Linked DNA regions of Drosophila melanogaster. The protein of the gene in region 2 interacts with the protein of the main gene of each other region in a pairwise test. Each region holds a gene or a part of one and is shown on either strand. Other genes may lie near its edges.

Evidence for each region.
Region 1: the proteins of CG9928 (region 2) and Dsk interact in a two-hybrid assay, tested with the Drosophila melanogaster proteins (one large-scale study listed by BioGRID).

Annotation. Positions count from the first base shown.
Region 1 is NT_033777.3:4,186,197-4,196,092, forward strand, and holds Dsk (drosulfakinin), read right to left. Parts: upstream 4,065-9,896; 5' UTR 4,038-4,064; coding exon 3,612-4,037; 3' UTR 3,496-3,611; downstream 1-3,495.
Region 2 is NT_033779.5:13,138,888-13,149,123, forward strand, and holds CG9928 (uncharacterized protein), read right to left. Parts: upstream 4,017-10,236; 5' UTR 3,979-4,016; coding exon 3,658-3,978; 3' UTR 3,558-3,657; downstream 1-3,557. Other genes in the region: CG16978 (uncharacterized protein), read right to left, coding at 4,420-4,710.

The DNA.
Region 1 (9,896 bases), on a different chromosome or scaffold from region 2:
CAAATGTTGCCACGCCCATAAACCGCCCAGGACTGCCACGCTCACAATTTCGAAAAATATTTTGATAAATAAATAAATTTGTAAATTTCTATCGATTAGCAACAAAAAAAAACGTTTTGCCACGCCCACAATTATGCCCACAAACATCCCAGAACTGCCACGCTAAACATTTTTGAAGTTTTTTTATATATATTTTGACACTTTTTTTACCCAAAAAACGTTTAGCCACGTCCACTCTAACGCCCACTTACCGCCCAAAACTGGCACGCCCACATTGTCATGTCTTGTGTTGCCAACTTCTATCACTATACAAAAAGCACATTGGCCACGCCTCTCTATACACCTACAAAACGACCCAAATGGTCCCGCCCAGACTTTTGAACAATTTGAAACATATTTTTCTCATTTTATACCCCTATATTTCCAAGAAATTATCAAATTTCGCGTACGCATTTCCACTCGTTGAGTAACGGGTATCTGATGGTCGGTGAACTCGACTATAGCATTATCTCTGTTAATATCCAGAAAAAGAACGAAAATAAATATAATATCTACAAATAAATACTTTGTTAAGAATAAAGTATTTTAGGGAGGTTGACCATATATTCTTATAATCCGGGAAACTCCGCAGCACATCTGACTTCTCTTATTGAGCAGTGTGCTCACTTCACAGCCTTCCAGACCCACTGGACTTGGATTACACTCATGACTTGGCTGAAAGCTACGACTGGGCTGTACACATAATTCTCTGCAAGTGTGTGCGTTTGCCTATCGGTGTAGTAGTAGCCTAGACTACACTTTATGGACAAACTCGCTGATACTTTCCTTTGTGCTGCAAATTTTGTGCTTGGTGTTGGTATCAACCTCTATGTGTAGAGACTGTGTGTGTGTGGTTGAATATGTGGAATGCGGACAATCCGGTCAGCATTCTTTGCAAAAGCGATTAGCAAAACCGGTAAGAGGAGGCGTCAAGCACTTGGCGCTCATTTCATGAGTTTGCAGCGGAAAGACTTCCGGAAGGTGAAACACAAAGAATATAACTTAAACTAAACTTAAGGTCTTAAGTAACGTCTTCTCTACACATTTACTTCCAGCACAAATATGTATAATATTTTCAAGTAAAAAACGCCACCTGTTTCAAAATGGCGACATCTGTTGATAATTTAAATACAAATGTATATAAGTTCTCCATGTTATTGTCGTCCATTCTGTCTGTGCGTATTAAAGCTACAACCAAGCTTGTCTGTCTCCATTGAAGCTTTCAAGGCTCTCCCCCATGAAGTTATTTACAAAGCTCGGGTGGAAAGCTTGCAAGTCTTTAACGCGCTTTCTACATATTCAGCAATACTGAGTCTCTGTAGTAAAACGGAGTCCGCTTATCACGGACGATACTCATTTATAAGAGTGTATAGAAATAAAAATGAGCTGTGGTTGACTAATTTTAACGAGTGAACCCAATCGGAATATAGCAGTATATACAGTACATACAAGTTATACAGTATATACAAGTTAGAACTTAGATACATATGTACAGCTGTGTTCAGAAAAATAGCAGTGCGAAGGAAATTAAGTAATACAAAGGTATTTTTCCATGTCCCTTTTCGGAATTGACTTTTTATTCCACTTATTTTTGTTAAATGGAATGTGTAGATAAGGAAAAAAAGAAAATCCGGTTAGTTTTTCATGTTATCCTTTTTTTATTTGCATTCTTGAGCAAAATCGCAATTTTTAGGCTGTTCATAAGAATAGCAGTGCCTGGTTTTGACCAACGTAAAGTTCCGAAATGATCATTATTTTCTAAAAAGTGAGTTTGGATAAGTTAATTCGTATATTTAAAAGGGCAATTAATTAAAAAAAAAATAAAAATTATATTTTAGTGGATAGAGGACAGCACTGCTCCCAGCAGAAAATAATGTAAATTCATAAGCTAAGAAAGGAAGGAAAAACATAAAGGGACATTCAAAAAACCCTTGAATGTTTTCCAAAATGGTATCCAATGCCATTAAATATGAATGGAAGCCCGAAACCCGTGGTACCAAACAAAAAACCACAGATATAGAGGATCGACGCATAGTTCGTTAGAGCAACGCCTATCCTTTTGCATCCTCTAGGGACATAAAGTCTGAGCTGAACTTGGGAATCAGTGACGTTACTATTCGGAGACGACTACTGAATCAAAATTTCAGTGCGAGGAGTCCAAGAAAGGTTCCCCCACTTAGCCCAAGGCTTATTCAGGCAAGGTTCACCTTCGCTAAAACCTACCGAAACTGGCCAGTCTGCAAATGGCGTAATATCCTTTGGACTGATCGGTCAAAAATAGTGCTATTTGGTGGAACTGGTTCACTACAGTATATCTGACGACCTCCAAACACCGAGTACCACCCAAAACACCCACTGAAGACTTTCAATCACGGTGGACCTAAAATCCTGGTATGGGCTTGTTTTTTTTTACAATGGTATGAGTCCATAACATATGATTTATGGTATTATAGACCAAAACGCATATGTAAATATACTTAGAGATGTCTTACTGTAATATTCTGAATATAATATGCCCTTAAAATGGACATTCCAACAGGATAATGATCCGAAACGCAGATGCAAGTCGGCTAGGAATAGGTTCACCCAAAATAGAATAGATGCAATGCCGTGGCAAGCACCATCTTCCGATTTAAACCCGATTGAAAACCTGTAGGGGGACATTAAACAATATGTGTCGAAGAAGTCCCCGACGTCTAAGGCTCAGATTTGGCAAGTTGTCCAGGATGCATGGGCAAAAATTCCTCCCAAACGTTGCCAGGACCTGGTGGACTCCATGTCGCGTGGGTGTAAGGCTGTGCTGGCTAACAAAGGCTTTCCAGCCAAGTATTAGGCCCGAATTAACATATTAAAAAGAAAAACTAAGTTCGTTTCTAAGTCAAGTTTAATTTTGTTACTATTTTTTCATAGCACTGCTATTTCATTGAACACCAGAATTTCTGCCTATTATGTTGTTTTATTCTATATTTTCGAAACTATTGAAGAAATAAAAGTGAAACATTTGTTAAATTGTTTGAAATTAAATACCTAATGATATTATAAAAAAAAATTTCCCATTAAAACTGTAAATCATAGGAAATTTTTATCTTAAACTCTCAAGTCCAAAGCACTGCTATTTTTCTGAACACAGCTGTATATAAATGGGCCTAAGGGAAACATACATCAACGACAATAATTCTTGTTAAGTAAATCCGATGCGTCTTTAAAAGGTATTCACAATTCGAAAGTCGGAGAACCTTTCAAATGCTTTCGTCACAAATAATTAAATAAAACTTTTTATATATTGAAGGTGCAGCCCTTTTTTTATATACCGGATAAATGGAGGCTTTTTACCGCGGTGATAAATTCTGCTAGGAATCAATACACCTATATGCAAGGGACTAAAAATCCTTTTTTCAATGAATCCATCATAGCTTACTCTAAGAATTCGGCTATAATACGAAATATTAAATTTTTGAATGCGAACATTTATTACTTTTTATATACTTGTTAATATAAAATGTGTGCTCGATTAATTTCTATGTACAATATACATAATCGGTTTTCTAAATGACTAAACTGATGGCAAGTGTTTATCGGCCGAAACGCATGTGACCGTAGTCATCGAACTGATCATCACCTCCCCTTTTACCAAACCTCATATGGCCGTAATCATCAAACCGCTTAGCTTTCGTTCTTTCGTCATCATTATCCATGAGGAGATCCAGCTCAATTGGTATTATTGGGCGTGAAATTAGTGGCACTCTGCGACCGAAGCTCATTGTTTTCTGATTACGCCTGTCCCCGAATAGAGAGAATGATGGTCCAACTAAATTCGCAATGGGCTGATCGATTTCCCCACCAATTTTTGACTCCAATTCCTGTAGTCGCCGATCATCCTTAGCGTTCTGTAGACTAGTCGTCTGCGCTGGGATCGGCAGCACCACCAGGAAGCAGAAGGCTAATGCCCAGAGTGGCATAAACAGCGTGGCGAAGTGCGTACAGCTTCTAGGTCCCATGCTTTACTGTGCCCTTGGCAGACTGGTGAACATCTAAGTTGGCGCTTCCTTTTTATACGATTGCGTTTGTGGCCATCTTTCTCGCCTGTTTAATATTCCGTTACCGCGGCTGTCAAGTGTTTAGAGGTGTTGAGATAACAGAAATTGACTTTGACTTGTGATTGACTTGATTGATTAAACTAACTTTGATGCTGTCCTGACAATAATTGAATTCGACGGCATGCCTAAAAGAATTAAGTATGATGAGTAACCGTCTGTATTAGGGCGCTGGGCGAGTATACTCTAGTGGTTTTCTGAAACATTCTTCAGCATAATATCAGGGGGCTAGTAGCTGTGCCAGACAAACAATTTTAAATAAAAAGCGCATATCCATGGTTAAATTTAATATTCGGAAATACATTCTGATTCAAATTTTTATAAATTTGCCAGCAAAGAAGTGTGAGCTAGTGTGAGACTTACAGATATGTTCAGAAGATATTTCTTTTTAAATTTTAAAAGCTGTTGCGAATAGAATATACTATTGTCTTTGGTTAAACTGAGCTGTGAACCATTGTATATGGGCATGAGGTTGACAGTGCTGATCTGAACCAAATCCAAATGCGAAATTCAAAAGGGAGGTTTTTTAACGGATATGCCTATGATTCCAACTGATATTAACACGATACCCATCAGCAAAGCCCAAACAAGCATTTCTTGTTTGTAATGTGAATTTGAAAATCATGTATATTACATGGGCATTACCATTGGACATGTAGACTCTTGTGACCCCTACACACCCGCATGCTGACCAAAACTGCAATGGCTACACATTTGAAAGGCTAGTATACCCTATAAAGTATGTAAAATGCCGAAGGCCTTTTCCGACCATTTGAAGTATATATTTTTTGATCAGGATCAATAGCCGAGTCGATCTGACCCTGTCCGTCCGATTGCTCCGAAACTTTCGTCATGAAATTTAAGTAAAAGCCTATCGATTATAGTTATTTTCTTTTCTCATTACTTATTCGATGAACCCATTAATCGATAGCTTTTACCACATTTTGTCGACTTGTTACTTCGAGGTCGACAAAGTCTTCAACCGGCAGTTCTCACTTGGGAGCGGTATCGTTCGTTCAAAAAACAAAACAGTGTGACGGTGAGACCGACCATTAGATTTCAATAAGACAAACAACGCGTTTTTATGGTCGGAATACATACCTTATTTGTGCTTATATTGTTTATCCCCAATAACTTTGCGAAAACCATTCTTGTCGAAGAGCTTACAAAATGGACATTGAGAAATAAGACCTCCTATAAGTGCCGGGTAATTTATCTGAAGATTCTGCTTATGATACCCGTTGCCTACATTCTGAACGTATTCGTTAATGATATTAAGTTAAGCTTATCAATGCTTATCTACGTTCCAAGAACTGTTAGAATCTGATTTAGTAGAAACCTATGAAAAAAGAGTTAATAGAAGTTAAAAAAGTTAATAGAAAAGAGTCGTCTCTACTGATTGCACATCTGTCGCACTTCAGTTATTTGAGTAAGCGGTATCTAATAGTCGCGGCACTCTACGGAAGTACATACATATATATACACTAGTGGGCATAAGTATTTGGACAAGAAATATTTTCAATATATTTGTTTGTAACTTATTGTTTACTTAAAGCAAAATTGTTTAATAATTTTAGTAAATAGGTAGGCTATCGTAGTTAAATGTAGAGGTAACATAAACATATGGATAACTTCATTGTTGATTTAACAAAAATCACTTTCTTACAAATTAGCAATGGCATAAGTATTTGGGCAAATTATTTAAATTTTATAAATTGAAAAAAAATTATGACAAATTAATAAAAAAATATACCCTCCCTTAGCGTCACCTTTTGCAGACGTTTTGGTACAGACTGTACCAAGCTGTGGATATAATCTATTGAAATATAAGGTTTGAATTTCCAAAATCGTTTCTTCGCGACTTCTAGATAAGTTTGCACTCCTTTTTCTTTTTAAATATGACCAGAGGTTTTCTATTATGTTGAGGTCTGGACTTTGACGTGGCCAATCCAATGTGTTTACGCCAACATCTTTCAGTAACTTCGTAATCAGTTTGGCCTTATGCCAGGGAGCAATATCCTGCTGGTGTATGAAGGACTCTCCAATCAATTTATCACCAGAGGGGAATGCATGATTATTAAGGACATCTAAATATTTTCCTTGATTCATGGTTCCATCAACAGGAACCAAATCTCCCAAGCCAGTGAAGGCTACGCATCCCCAAAACATAACAGACCCTCCTGAATGATTTACTCTCTGACATACTGGTGCCACTTTTTTCCGATATTGTTTCGGTAATCTAAAAAAAAAAATTTTTTTGAGCAATGAAACTTAAAAGTGGTTTTATCGCTCCACAAAACATTTTTCCAGAATGATGCAGGCTGACCAACATATTTTTTGGCACAGTCGAGGCCAATAGTTTACTTATTTATTTGACTGTACTATGAAAAGCATAGCCCGGCAGTTGCAAGCTAATGGTGTCTAAATACTTATGCCCACTAGTGTATAAGTTAACAACTCATAACATAATAATTCATAGCAACTAAGTAGCTCTATATGAAGAATGCTGTAGCGCCAGAATTGTGTTCAGTGCTCTGCGCAAAGAACGTCCGGCAACGGAAAGCTGTAACTTCTTATTCGGAGTGTTGCTTCACGCTGCAAGGAATGCTGAGTCGGCTTTGCCGACTCGTCTTGGTGGCGCAATGCATTGCTGTTAGGGTAAACTTAGCTCCATGTTTTGTCAACTCTTTAGTCTCAGTTTTGTGTCCAAATAAATCAGAACGTGCTCCGGCTTACAGCCGCAAATAATAATTGTACTTATTATCTACATTGCTACGCCACAAGGCTAGTCAATAAACCTAAGGGGGCGAAGTCAAGCCCTCCAACGTAATCTTCAGAAGACTCTGCCATATCTGTCCGCATATTAATCTGTATGTATGAGCGTCGAGATTTTGTTTAGATCTTAGAAACTAAAGGCCAGAAAGTTTTGATTAAACATGCATATATGCATATGTCAGAGACATAAACGCAGCTCAAGCTATGCAGATAATATCCCCTAAGATAGTCTTGAAAATGTTAGATCCAGAGACTCTCTAGTTGTTCTGTTTTGCTACGAGGAAGAAGTCGCCTAGAGTGTTCATACATGTTTTTTTACTCGTAGAGTGAAAAAGGCATTTCAGACCATATGAAGTATATACATGTATGTATATTCTTGATCAGGATCAATAGCCGAGTCGATCTGGCCATGTACGTCTGTCCGTATACACGTCGACATCTCAGGAACTATAAAAGCTTGAAGGTTAAGATACAATAGTTGAACATACAGATTCTAGAAACATAGATACGGCGCAAGTTTGTTGAGACACGTTGTGACGCCCCACTATAATGCCCACATACTGCCCAAAACTGCCCCGCCCACACTTTTGAAAAAAGTTTTCATATTTTTTGATCTTTGTGTTAGTTTTGTAAATTTCTATCGATACGCCAACAAACTTTTTGCTACACTGACTAAAAATAGTTTTAATTTTTGCCTTTTAAATATTATATAGTCTTTTAAAAATTATCGATAAAACTTTTTGCCATGTCCACTTACTCCCCAAAACTGTCACTCCCACACATTTTAAAAATGTTTTAATATTTTTGTTATATTTTATTAGATATTGAAAATTCCTATCATTTTGCCAAATAACTTTTTGCCTCGCCGACGCTAACGCCCACAAATTACCCAACATATTTCATTATATTCTCCAATATCTATCGATAGATGAGGGAACGGGTATCTGATAGTCGGGAACTCGACTATAGCACTCTATCTGGTTTTTAATTTATCTTCCTAATTGCTACGGTCTTGCCGTAAACCAAAGCGTCCCCTGTAGAGTTTAGGGTCCTAGATATAACGTTACCTTTTGTTTTGGTCTTAAAATATGTAAAAACTAATCTTATTGAATTTAGACAATGGCAGAACCTTTTTTTCGGGTCAATTGCCATCCCATATTCATGAAAGGAGCGAATTATGTACCAGCCCACACACTTCCGGAGTTATCGGCCGATGCCGATGCGGGTAAGTATATATACCTAATGGCAGCAGAAATAAATTAGCTTATTATACGAAATCCAATTAAGTCGCACATTTGCTTAAGTCCGCAAACGAGGCCAATATGAACATGATACGCGTTTGGGGTGGCGGCCTTTATGAGTCGGATACCTTCTACAACTTAGCGGACTTTTACGGACTATTGGTGTGGCAGGACCTGGCGTTTTCTCAAGCAGCATACCCGCTAGCAAATGACTTTGTAGCTTCTGTGTGCGTTGAGACAGTACAGAATGCACAGCGTCTTTCTTATCATCCAAGTTTAGCCCTAATAGTCACCAACAATGAGATTGAGCTATTCCTGTCAAGCAACAAATCTGATTTTGGAGAAAACGCCACTAGAATGGATAGTGATTACAAAGCCTTGTTTATTGAAACATTAATTCAAGAGTTAAACGTTATCTCTCGTAAAGATTTTAGTCCTCGCCCTGACCCCATGGCCTCTACGCCTTCATTAGGTGTTCAGGAGTCTGGCAAAAACCTCTCCAACAACCCGCAAAGCTTACAGGTGATGGTGAGTCTGCTTTTCACAAATTTATTCCTGGAAATTCTCCGTCTACGTCTATTTTACCTTTGTTTTTTATTTTAGTGCACTTTTGGGACGACAAAGATGGATTCAGCCCTGAAACGTATCCAAACGCTTTGTTTCGGAATTCGGTTACTCTAGCCTTCCAATGAAATCAACGTGGCAAAGGGCACTAGCTGATTCTGCAGATAATAGCGACCTTGAAATTGCGAGACTTATTCGAAGCCGTCAGCACGACCCTAAGGGATTCATACCGATACTCCAATTGATTGCCTATCAGCTTCCGTTTGTTCCCCAAAATTGGGACGAAAATATCGATGTTTTTATATTTTAGCCAAGTGACACAAGCCATGGCAACTAAAACCGCTTTGGACGTGTTTCGTAGTCTACGCACAGGAAACCATACAATGGGAGCTCTTATATGGCAGTTAAACGATGTTTGGGTGGCTCCAACTTGGTCCTGCATCGACTTCTACGGAAACCCTAAGCTATTATACTACTGGACCAAGGAACTTCTTGCCCCAACGAGTGTTATAGCCCTATACGAAAAAACCTCAATATCACGCTTACAAGAGAGGACTTCTCCGAGCATAGAGACTCGCGGTTATACCATGTACTGGTGAACACCTATCTATGGACGGGCTCGATTCCTAAGAAGACTATTGCTCGCCCTTTTGGACTGGTGAGACACCCAAGACATTATATTGGCAATAATATCATCTACCAAGGGCTCATTTACAGGGCTCCAATAAACTTGAGATGCGGCAAATACCTTTGGAATATTTGCTGTACATAAACATTTGAAGGAAGAACTGTTTTTGGAAATCATTTTGGAGGACGAATACGGCAACTCTGTGACTAGAAACTTTTTTTACCCCGTACCCTTTAAAAAAATTATGGGCATTAAAGATTCAGAACTAACAGTAAGTGTGCCCCTCTTTTTAAAACGCCTAATATTTGCTATTTTCTTACTTGTATGTAAGTCAAACAGCTGGAGGTCGAAGGTCAGGACTGCAAAGCGGCAACATCCCCTTATGCAAATAGTTTTAGTTTGCGCATTACTGTCAGATATCCGGCTCTACTTGTATACCTCGAGCTATTGCATCCTTATTATGTCAAGGAGCGGCACAAGTTCTCGACAAATGGCTTTACTCAAACCCAGCCAAAAAAGACGATACACCTAGTGATCGAAAGCGACTCGGTATGC
Region 2 (10,236 bases):
GCCGCATTCATGATGGAAGTGGGTCAGTGGTGCATCGAATAGAGGGAACACACTATGGTTATGATTAAGAACTATTTGCTATGTGTTTCCAATTACGCGCAGAATCTATTTTAGTCTCTTTTCTGTCACACATATATACATATTGTATATATATATATATATATTAAATGGTTAAGAATAATTGAATAGTAATCCAATAAGTACTTATTATTACTTGTTCTTTACAAATAGTATTTATTGCAAGCATAACTCATCTTTTTCTATAAGTGCTTAAAATCATTAATTGCTATTGCATATTACGTTTGAATAACCCGGTAGTTTAATGATTATGATGAATGCATCATTAGTACCTTCTTCACCTGGCTTTTAAATGTAAGAACCCGATCTCTTCGCGCTGGGCAATAGATTCAGATAAAGTGCATTAGCTAACTACGAAGCTATACCTAGTTACCCGATCATTTTGCCTCCATTGTGCGAATACATGCAGTATGAATATGATTTAGTGCCACCGCCGACTTGGCTGAGTTATTAATTAGCGAGCTGAGTAAGTGAGGAGCAGTCCGCCTTTCCCCGAGGGCGTTCTCGGATGAGCTGGACTGGCTGCACTTGACTGATCTTCCGCCCCCCCGTCCCAGCCCCACATTCTCTGAGTCAGGCTAAGATTCACGATCGTTTCGGGGCCTTGTCAAAGGTGAGTAATAAGCGGTAGATCGTATATGGCTCGCTGGATGTTTCCACAGAAATTCGCCAAGTTTCGCGGCAAATGCTCACCTTGAACTTGGCCAGACAAGCGAGCAGAGAGATGTTAGTTAGCAATATGAATTTGAGTTTTCCTATCTATTGCCCCCTCAGTTTTGCAGTTGCATCGCGCGCTGCTCAGCGAAGCTGAAAATATTTAAATGCTAAGCTACGTTTTAGAATTTTTTTTACATTTTTTTGTGGCGGCTAAACACAAATATGAATGCGAAATTTGTTTGGCGTTGCGGCTCACCCACGAACTGGTCATGACAATGCCGATGACGATTTTGTTGGCCTGGCCAAAAAGCAGAACCACCACAAAGTAATTACGTCGAAGAGCGAGAGAGAGCTACGGCAGGTTATGCAAGTTCAAGGCTAAAAACTCTGCATTAATTATAATTATTTTTGCATTTGTTAAACGCGAAGGGGCAACAACGACAACAACAATCATCGAGCTGCCTGTGTTAATTGTCTGGGCGAATGCAAAAGAGGAAAAACAGGTAAATGCAGAATTTGTTTTGCTCGAATGTGGTAATTAATTGTGGCCAGCAATCGATGGCAGAATCCCCCAGCCACGGGGGTTAATGCCATTCAAAAGAATCGAACCCCCAAGATCAGTAAATTACTTTGTAACAGAGAGTATGATTAAAAGAAATAAAAACACATATTATTTAAAGACGTAGAAATGAAGTAAACAAGCCAAGGGGATTACCACAAAACTGACCAGTACCGGCGGGACCAGTCTGTCCGTATGAACGTCTTGATCTCAAGAACTATAAAAGCTAGAGAGTTGAGAGCTTCCTAATGTTGCCCACTCTAAAGCCACCCCAAACTGTCTATTGTTTTATTTGTATTTTGTATATTTTAATTGTTTCTCTCTTGTTGTATCAGCAATCGATAACAAGAGAAAGTGCTTCCAACACACGAACTGCAACTTTGTGCCGGGTGTTACAGACTTATTTTTTGTTATCAGCAAAGTATTTGGCACAGAGCCAGTATATCTCATATCATTTGCAGAGATTTGGGATACCCGATAAGCGAGTAAACAAAAGTCTGATAAGCAGCAGTCCAAATTCAATTTGCCCCCCATCGATAAGAAAACGAGGGGACACAAAACCGAAGGGTGACTTAAGCCAGCGATTGCTCTGCCATTATGGGTCTTAAGAGCTAGAACAGGCCATAAAGTAAGCTCTTGGAGGAGGGGATACCACCCATCCATTCAGCCATCCATCCATCCATTTAGTGAGACACAGACGCAGAGTGACATAATAAATAAATTTAATCAGTTGGCTGCGTAAAAGCTCTGCCACTGCTGCTGAATAGAGGGGAAGTGGAAACCCAATCCGAATCCGATTCCGTGGCAGGTTTAACATCTAGTGTCTTTAACTTTGGGATTTACTTTAAGATTGCCGCCGTCTGTGTCATCAGTTCATATTTCGAGTGCTTAGCGCTCATTTCTTTCAATTCCGCCCTTTTTATGACCTCCACCACTGGCATCTCCTCAACTGGCTGGCTTATCTCATTGGAAGCCCGATTCTCATTCCGTTCTTGTGTCTGTCGTTGGGCGTCGAGACAATGTGGCCTTGCCCACGTTGCGTATGCGTAATCAAGTTCTTAAATCCGACTCAAAGGGCAATTGTGTTGTGACACCCAACAAGTTTTCATAGCCGGCAGCTAACATACTTTTTAAATTATTTCACGTACATCATTACGTACTACAGTTTTAATGGCATTATTACCACATTCTATTTACCGCGCAACTCGTCGTGCGAGCTTTCCATGATTTTTCCCCTTTTGGAAATTTACATCCTTTCGGCTATTTGTGTGTTTATTTATGAAGATTAAAGCGCCAATTAAAACACTGATTATATGCGTTAAATGTGGCTGAGAAAACTCTGGGTCTTTAATAAAGTGCGTGGAAAATGGGGTGCGTTTAATACGGGAAACGTTTAAATATAATTGCAATTTTAAAAGAGAAACCTGCTGCTCGTCCTGCGGCAAAAACGCAGCACAATTGTGCGGTTTCCATTATTTACACCTCGAATTCGCTGCTGTAATTGTTATTTGAACGGGGTAAATAATTAGCAAAAGCAATCATTTAAATTTAAGTCAAAATTTAAACGTAAAATTGTTTAATTATACGAATTCAGTCATTGCTGTGTGCGAAGAGAATTTGCATAGTAATTGATTGCATTGTAATCGAAATAATTGATTGTTCCGCTCGATGTTTGTTTTTGATTGATTTGCCGAGATAGAAATTACGCTTTAATGGTGGTAATTAAATTTAGATCTGTTGTATGTTTACAAACAAATATTTTCTATTATTCCATTTTGTTCAAAGGGCAGAAGAAAAATTTAACTACTTTCGGAGGTAAGTTTGCTTAGGTCTTGCGCAACATTTTCTTCTGATTAGCACTGCTTAAAATGTATTCATGATGCGGAAATCGATTTAATTTCTCTCGATAGCCTTCATTTAGTTATAGTTATGTATAACTGGTTAACGCTATGCTGAAGACTGAAATTCGGCTATTAACACAGAACGTTGGTTTAACCATAAAATCGCATAAATATGCTAATTTCTTTTTGTTTTCGTTTTCATCGTAATGGTATTCTAAGCTCAAAATTGGTTTCTTTTTTTTCTACTTATTATTCACCTAATTAGCATAAGCTGTATGATTAAAGATATTTAGAGAGGGGTGCTATTTTAAATCGACAGTAAAAGTGAAAAATTCTCAATGATGAAACAGGCGGAACTGATTTCGAAATGGGTCAAGGCCCATTGGATTTGTTAGATAAGATCAGTTCATAAAATAATAAATACGTTTGTTAAGTAATAAAATCTAAAGCATTTTATAATGCTTATTTCTTAATCTTTTAAAAATTCTTTTATTTAAATTGAGTATTTTAACATCGTAACATTTATCCTATGTGTATAAACTGGAATCCGCGAGCGTCTTCCTTTGAGTCTCCTGCGGATCTATCGGTATCGAATCCAGAATTCCTCACCGCATCGTTGCCCCAATTATTTCTATCATTGCCACTGTTATCCAACGATTCCAGTAGCTTCAGAGTCCTATCGTCATCAGAACTGTGAACACTATCGCTCCAGTCCAAGTTGCCACCTGAAGATCGTGTTCTTCCTCCTTCGCCACCGAGGTTTATATTCTGAAATATACCCGATGCACCGATCGCGGTATAGATTAATCCAAACAGCACCAGCAGTCGGAGAATGGATTGCATTTTTCTTTCGATTAGCTCTGGCTACAGTTGACTGAATGTCAGTCGGCTCTTGAGCTGGGCTTTTATAGCCTTGCCCTGGGTTATCAGCAGTTCTAAGTGGTTGGTTTAAAGGTGATATGTATACTTTTAGACAGAGGTGAGTGCGGGAAATTCCAGCTTAACAGCAACACAGCTTACCACAAGCTTAATTGATATACTAAACGAGCTATTAAATTCAATCTATGACTAGTATTTAATGCGTACTTAAAATCGAAATTGCGGAGTAGGCAACATTCATTATCAAAAAATGAAGATCTCTTGATTCTCTCTTGATTGATTTCATTTTAAAATTTCTAAAAACTTTCTTTTATTTCCCTTAATAATTATTATTGAAGAACTAGATTATTTACAGACAATAGGATAGCATGACTTAGCATTACAGCACTACTAAATAATTCCATATTAAGTAGCCGGTTCGGTGGTAATATCCATAAAATCCAAAGTCGTCTCATCGTCATCAAGACTTGGATAGTCAGTTGAGTTCTCATGAGCTGCATCGTTCTCCTGCCAGCGTCTGATCAGCTCGTCCATTGCATTCATGAACTCTTCGGCACTGTTGTATCCACTGCCAGATTCCTCCAAAGCATCATTGGTACCTTCCGGATCTTCAATAAGGTCGTGCGGATGGCCGGCAATTAGAGCAGCACAAATGATTCCGAATAGGAGAAGCAATGATATGATGCGGCTCATCATGCTGATCAATGCACCGCCGGCAACTGCATAGCCAGATGCAATTTCTTTCGTTTTTATATGGATCGTGTCGGTCAGTAATAAGTTCAATGGAATTCTGGAAAATCCAGTCTGGGCTAAGCCCAAGTGGCAAGCTGCTTCGATTTCCTCATTCATATTTATGCGTTGGGCGGTACTAGAGTCCCCTCTGAATCATCGCAGACCCAGCAAGAGCAAGCATTGCGCATACGACACGTTGCCACTTGCGGATCAACAGTCATGCAAATAAGTCTATGATTAATTCCAAATAATTGCTATGTCTGTTGAGAAAATTCTCGGCCATGCCAATCATCTGTCAGTTACTAGAGTTGTGTTAGTTAGCTGGGTAGTCAGAAAATGTACTCTAAATAAGGGATTATAAACTTAGCAAAGCGACTGTATTTCATCTTTCCTTGTAGGCCGATGTGAGTGCTGCCGGCAACCCTTAAATGACTTGGCTGCCAGCATCGAGCACTTTACTCCGCTTCGTTGCCTCAATCCTTCGTTGGCTCCTCCGGCACTTTATTCAATTTTCCAAAGCGCGCGCACTCAGCTGCCAGTACAACCTCACTTTGCCACCCCAAAAGACGGGAGCCCATCCACGAAAACCTGTGGTAAAAACATGCAATCTACTCACGAGGCTAATGCCCTTTTATGGCATTGGAGTGTGCCGCATCAGCAAAACGGTGCTGAATCGTTGCTGCTGTAGCTGCAGCATTCAACCATCTAACCACCATGCGAACAACACCATTAGATGGGCCACCAGACTCGATTCACGGGGGCTGCAGCTCATTATCCTCCGGGGAAGCAGACGCCCGCCCATTCACCGAATTGCTGGTGGACTTGTCTGCAAATATGTCGCTCATTTGCATCGCCATCATTGGAGTCTAAGACTGCGCCATTGAAATCAAAGTAAGCTGTTACACGGATCGTTTTTAGTCATTTCTAAAACGTTTCAGAAAATTCTTTATATAATATAAAAACTCTGCTGGCAACTGAAATAATAACCACAAATATGTTTTTAATTATTTTAATATCCTCAACTTCAATTCTATAATTAATGTATATTTTAAAAAATTTCAAACTTTTTCTGATGCTTTTGTATATTATGTCGACTTGCTAGCAAATGTCAGTCATTTAAAAATCGCCGCATACCAGCGGCGCAACAAATCAAAGTTGGTTTTGAGTTTTGTTTAGTGGTTTTTAAGCCGACATGAATACCCACTTCTAGGTGTATAGAACCTTAGCAAGTGCCATTAAAAAGATACAACTGAAATAGCCCAGGCACTCCGGCATAAAAGTACGACAGTCAGTCAAATTAACATTTCAGTCACACAATGACCTTCACCTAGAAGCCATCAAAGCGTACCCAAACGACGGCCCAGCCCTAGCCCCAAATCCCCTGGCTTCACCGGAGTCCAAAGCCAAAACCAACTTCAACGCAACGCGACCAAATAACATAAAAACCAAAGTCAATCAAAAAAAAGAGGAGGAAAATAAATATTTTTCAGCCAATGTCTAAATACCCTTTTCGAAGCTTCAATGATCAATATCATTGATAATACTGAAGTTGTAAAAATAACTCGATTTTAATTATGACCAAAAATGACATCTAATCGTTTAAATTTTCTTCATATATACCTTAAGCTTGTGGGTATATTTTTCAGTGTTACAAACCTCTTTCAAAAATCGAAGAACCCCCTGGAAAGGTAACCACAAATATATGAAAAACGAGACAAAGTCAAAGCTGGCTTTTGCTCAGTCGGTCGCGTAATTTTGTTTTCGTAGCCACTTGATTAGCACGCTCTGAGCCATGTTTAAACGTGGGCTGTTTAGCCAAACGGCAGCCGATACGCCCGACCTGGTCAAAAGCGTACCGTCCAATAGCAGCGATGGCAACAAAAAGAGCTCCAATATCGGCGAACAGAATTCAGCTAAAGACCGCACTAAAGACTTTGACGCAAAAAACGTGCGAGTACGTGCCGCTGATTAGTAAAACAAACAAATTAAATTGGTCTCTACTTTATGCCCGATTTTCTTCTATTTTTCGTCTTACGACTTTTGGCTAAGAGCTATACCAAAGAGCTGTTTTGGCTCAAAGAGATTTATAAACTTTTCAAAGAGAAGCCAAGAGAAGTCAATTAAAACAGATGTTATAGTTTTAAACAATATATTCTCTTAAATAAAAGTATCAACCATCATATAATTTATCTATAATTGCTGGTCTTTAAAAGCCAGGTTAATGTAAAAAATTCCCATTTCCAATGCATCAAGTGGTTCTTGTTCGTGATATTTATAATTCATATTTAAAAGATTAGCTCTTTTGACCATCAAGGTCCACCACAAATCGATTTGATCTTTGCGACTACTGGTCTTGGCTTATTTGCAGGCATGGCACCTGCTACTGGCCAACAGATCTATGAGTTAAAATGAATATTTATATAAGAATGGATTGCATTGTCATGAGTAGGCAAACGTCTCGCATTCTTGGCTTTATTACTTGGCCCGTGGAGAAGGAGAGTCAGGTTTGTTAATCCATGCCGAATCAATATGCAGGTCGCGGCTTTGACTCAATTCTTATTTTGCCCGATACGTCATTATAAACCGCAGTTGTTTTCGGTTGGCGAGGGGGTTTACTTGGGCTAAGCCCATTACTGGACACCAGTTGGATAACTGCTGTCGATGCTGCTGGTCTTACACCGTAAAAAGTTAGATGGCCCAATTAAAACAAGCAAATGTTGCTAAGGAAATAGTCTAACAAAAATGTTAGAAAGTAAGGATTTTTAAAATATGAGTTTATTAAATATAAATTTATTTTATAAAATACATCTATAAGATATAAGATTTATTATATATATACTTAAGCAAGTTACCCATAATGATCCTCTAATGTTTTTCTACCCATATCAATTGCAGTATTTACCCCATAGCACTACCCTTTTTTATTTTCAGTGTACTGCTCCCACTGTTGCATTGTTCTCGGTGGCGTTCTTAACGAGCGCAGCATGCAAAACAAGGCGCAAGACGCCATTTGGCTAACAGAAACACACAGAGGGAATCGCAGAATCGTTTTTATGGCCGCTGCGCCCCCTGAATGATAATGATAATCGAGTCCCAACTGGGTGAATCTCTGGCTTCGCCCTGTCCACCGGACAGTGCAGTCCAGCCAAGTCGATTCTGGTTGCCTCTGTGAATTTTTCTGCCTGATTGTGCGCACGCGCTCATAATCAAAGAGCCTTCTCCTCCCAAACCCGCCAACTTGGCCAACTCGCTGCTGGGCTGGCCTTTTATGATGGATGGAGCGTTGGCGAGCGATTCGCCTTGACGTTGATGCGCCATCAAGGAAAATTATTGCGTGCGCGCAATTAAAACTAAAATAAAGTTGCAAAAATATGAATCCAAATTTGCATATACCAAAAAAAAAGTGCATCTACATCTGGACAATGCAACCACATCAAGCGGATGAGTCAGTGGCGGTTTGAGCGACTTCCGATTGTATTGCTTAAATGTTCGAAAAAAGTATTTAAATTCTTTTTGAACTTCAAGTATGATTTTGTTTAGATATTGGTTTTGGTATTGTCACGTTTTTAAGAAAGATATATCTCATACAATAATTTAATATATATATATTTTATATAATATATATTTTATATATGGTATATAAGTATTCTATTTCAATGTGTTAACAATCAGAAAAATCCATTAAAATTGCACATTTACCATTTAAACCCATTTTGACTTCTTTCGCATGAAAAATACTCCCTTCATTTAACAATTTACATTGATAGCTTTAATCTCATCACGTTTCAGTTGAATGAAAGGCTTTAAATATTTCGTATTGTTGTGCAATGGACTTTTCTGCTGAATCTTTTAAACATTGCTGATTCAATTTGGCGTGTCTGTTCGAACATTTTATAAAATAGTTCGGCAATGGAGCGCACAGCTTTGGTTTTTGGTTTCAAAACTTATAAAGGTTTTGCGTATATTTATTGTATTTTTAACGTGACGCATGGGGAAAATGTATCCCTTCCTGTGGAGCGGAAGCCCTTTTCGTTCGGTGACAAAAAAAAGTGGCGACATGGGGCAGCCCAAAATCATCGGACTCCGGCGCTTAACAGCGACATTGTTGATATATCTGGACACTTGGATCGCTATGTTTCTGCCACGATATGTTGCCAGTACCATACATATAGCACCAGCACGATACATATATATATCAAACGAACCCTGTTTGAGTGTAAATTTGTGTTTATTTGCCGGTTTCGCTTTTGAATTTATGGTTGGGAGTAAAGTGGCGATGTTGGAGAACTGCCAAACAAGCCTGAAAAGTTGACAGCGATGCTTTTTGTCTATAAGACATATATATGGGGAAATTTTTGAACCTGGCTTTTAACTAACTCATATCCAGTCTCTTTGTGCATCTTTTTTTGTTCAACTATAAGGATTATAGCTGACTAACTAAAGCTAAACATTATTCTCCTATAACTATGTCCCATCTTGCCATTTTGTTTTGAACTTCCAAAAACACTACTTTAATATGTATTTCGCTTGAATTTTAGGTTCAAGAAATATTATCTGCATCTTTTCTACTACTTTCAATTATTTACGTTTAAATTGAATTAAGTGCCAAAATTCGCCTCCCCAGCAATTGTTGTCTTTTGCGTCACAAGATCTCCGGGAAAATGTACATGCCAATATACATATATATACATATTTATATACATATCTTGCCGGCAATCAAATTATAGAGCAATTCGAGACAAGTCAAGACCACTTTTGGCTGTCAATATTTCATATTATTATCGATTTTGTAACCAAGTACACACCGAAAGCGGTACAAAATCATAATACATTCTGGCCTGGGCCACTAAAGATAGATATCTGGCAAAACATATTGGCGCAGTAACAATATTTTGCTTTCCAGGCCAAGCTTCAAATGACCGAATGCCCAAATGACTGACTGGGTAACTGACTGAATGACTGACTGACTCTGGATGACTGACTGGCATCAAAAACTAAGGGGAATACATTGAGCCTGTTTATCAGCAGCCTTAGTTTCAGCATCAACAACGACCAAAAGCCGGAGGCGAAGCACGCGTTCTCCAAATATTTATGAGCCGCAAAAACAGAAGGAGGACGACCGAATCGGGGTGTGGATTGTGGGGGGGGGAGTGGCCAGGGGGACTTTTGGCCAAGTGATTTACCGACTGAGCTTCAAGTAGCCGCAGCAGCTGTCAATCAGCCTGCAATCAGCCTCCACTTTAAGCCTATAAAAACGTCTGCAGTTAGCGGTAAAGCAAAGCCAAGACCCACCAAAAAAAAAATAAATATATACAAAAAATATATGTATAAATATATTTAAGCCAAAAAGTAAAAGTGGCTTACGGTAAAACCATATTCGACAACAAGAATTTCATACATTTCATATTGCGCCGCACCCAAGATGAAATCCATGAAATGGAGACGCGTCCCAAGTGTGCAAAGACAATTAGTGACCTCAAAAACGTTTTG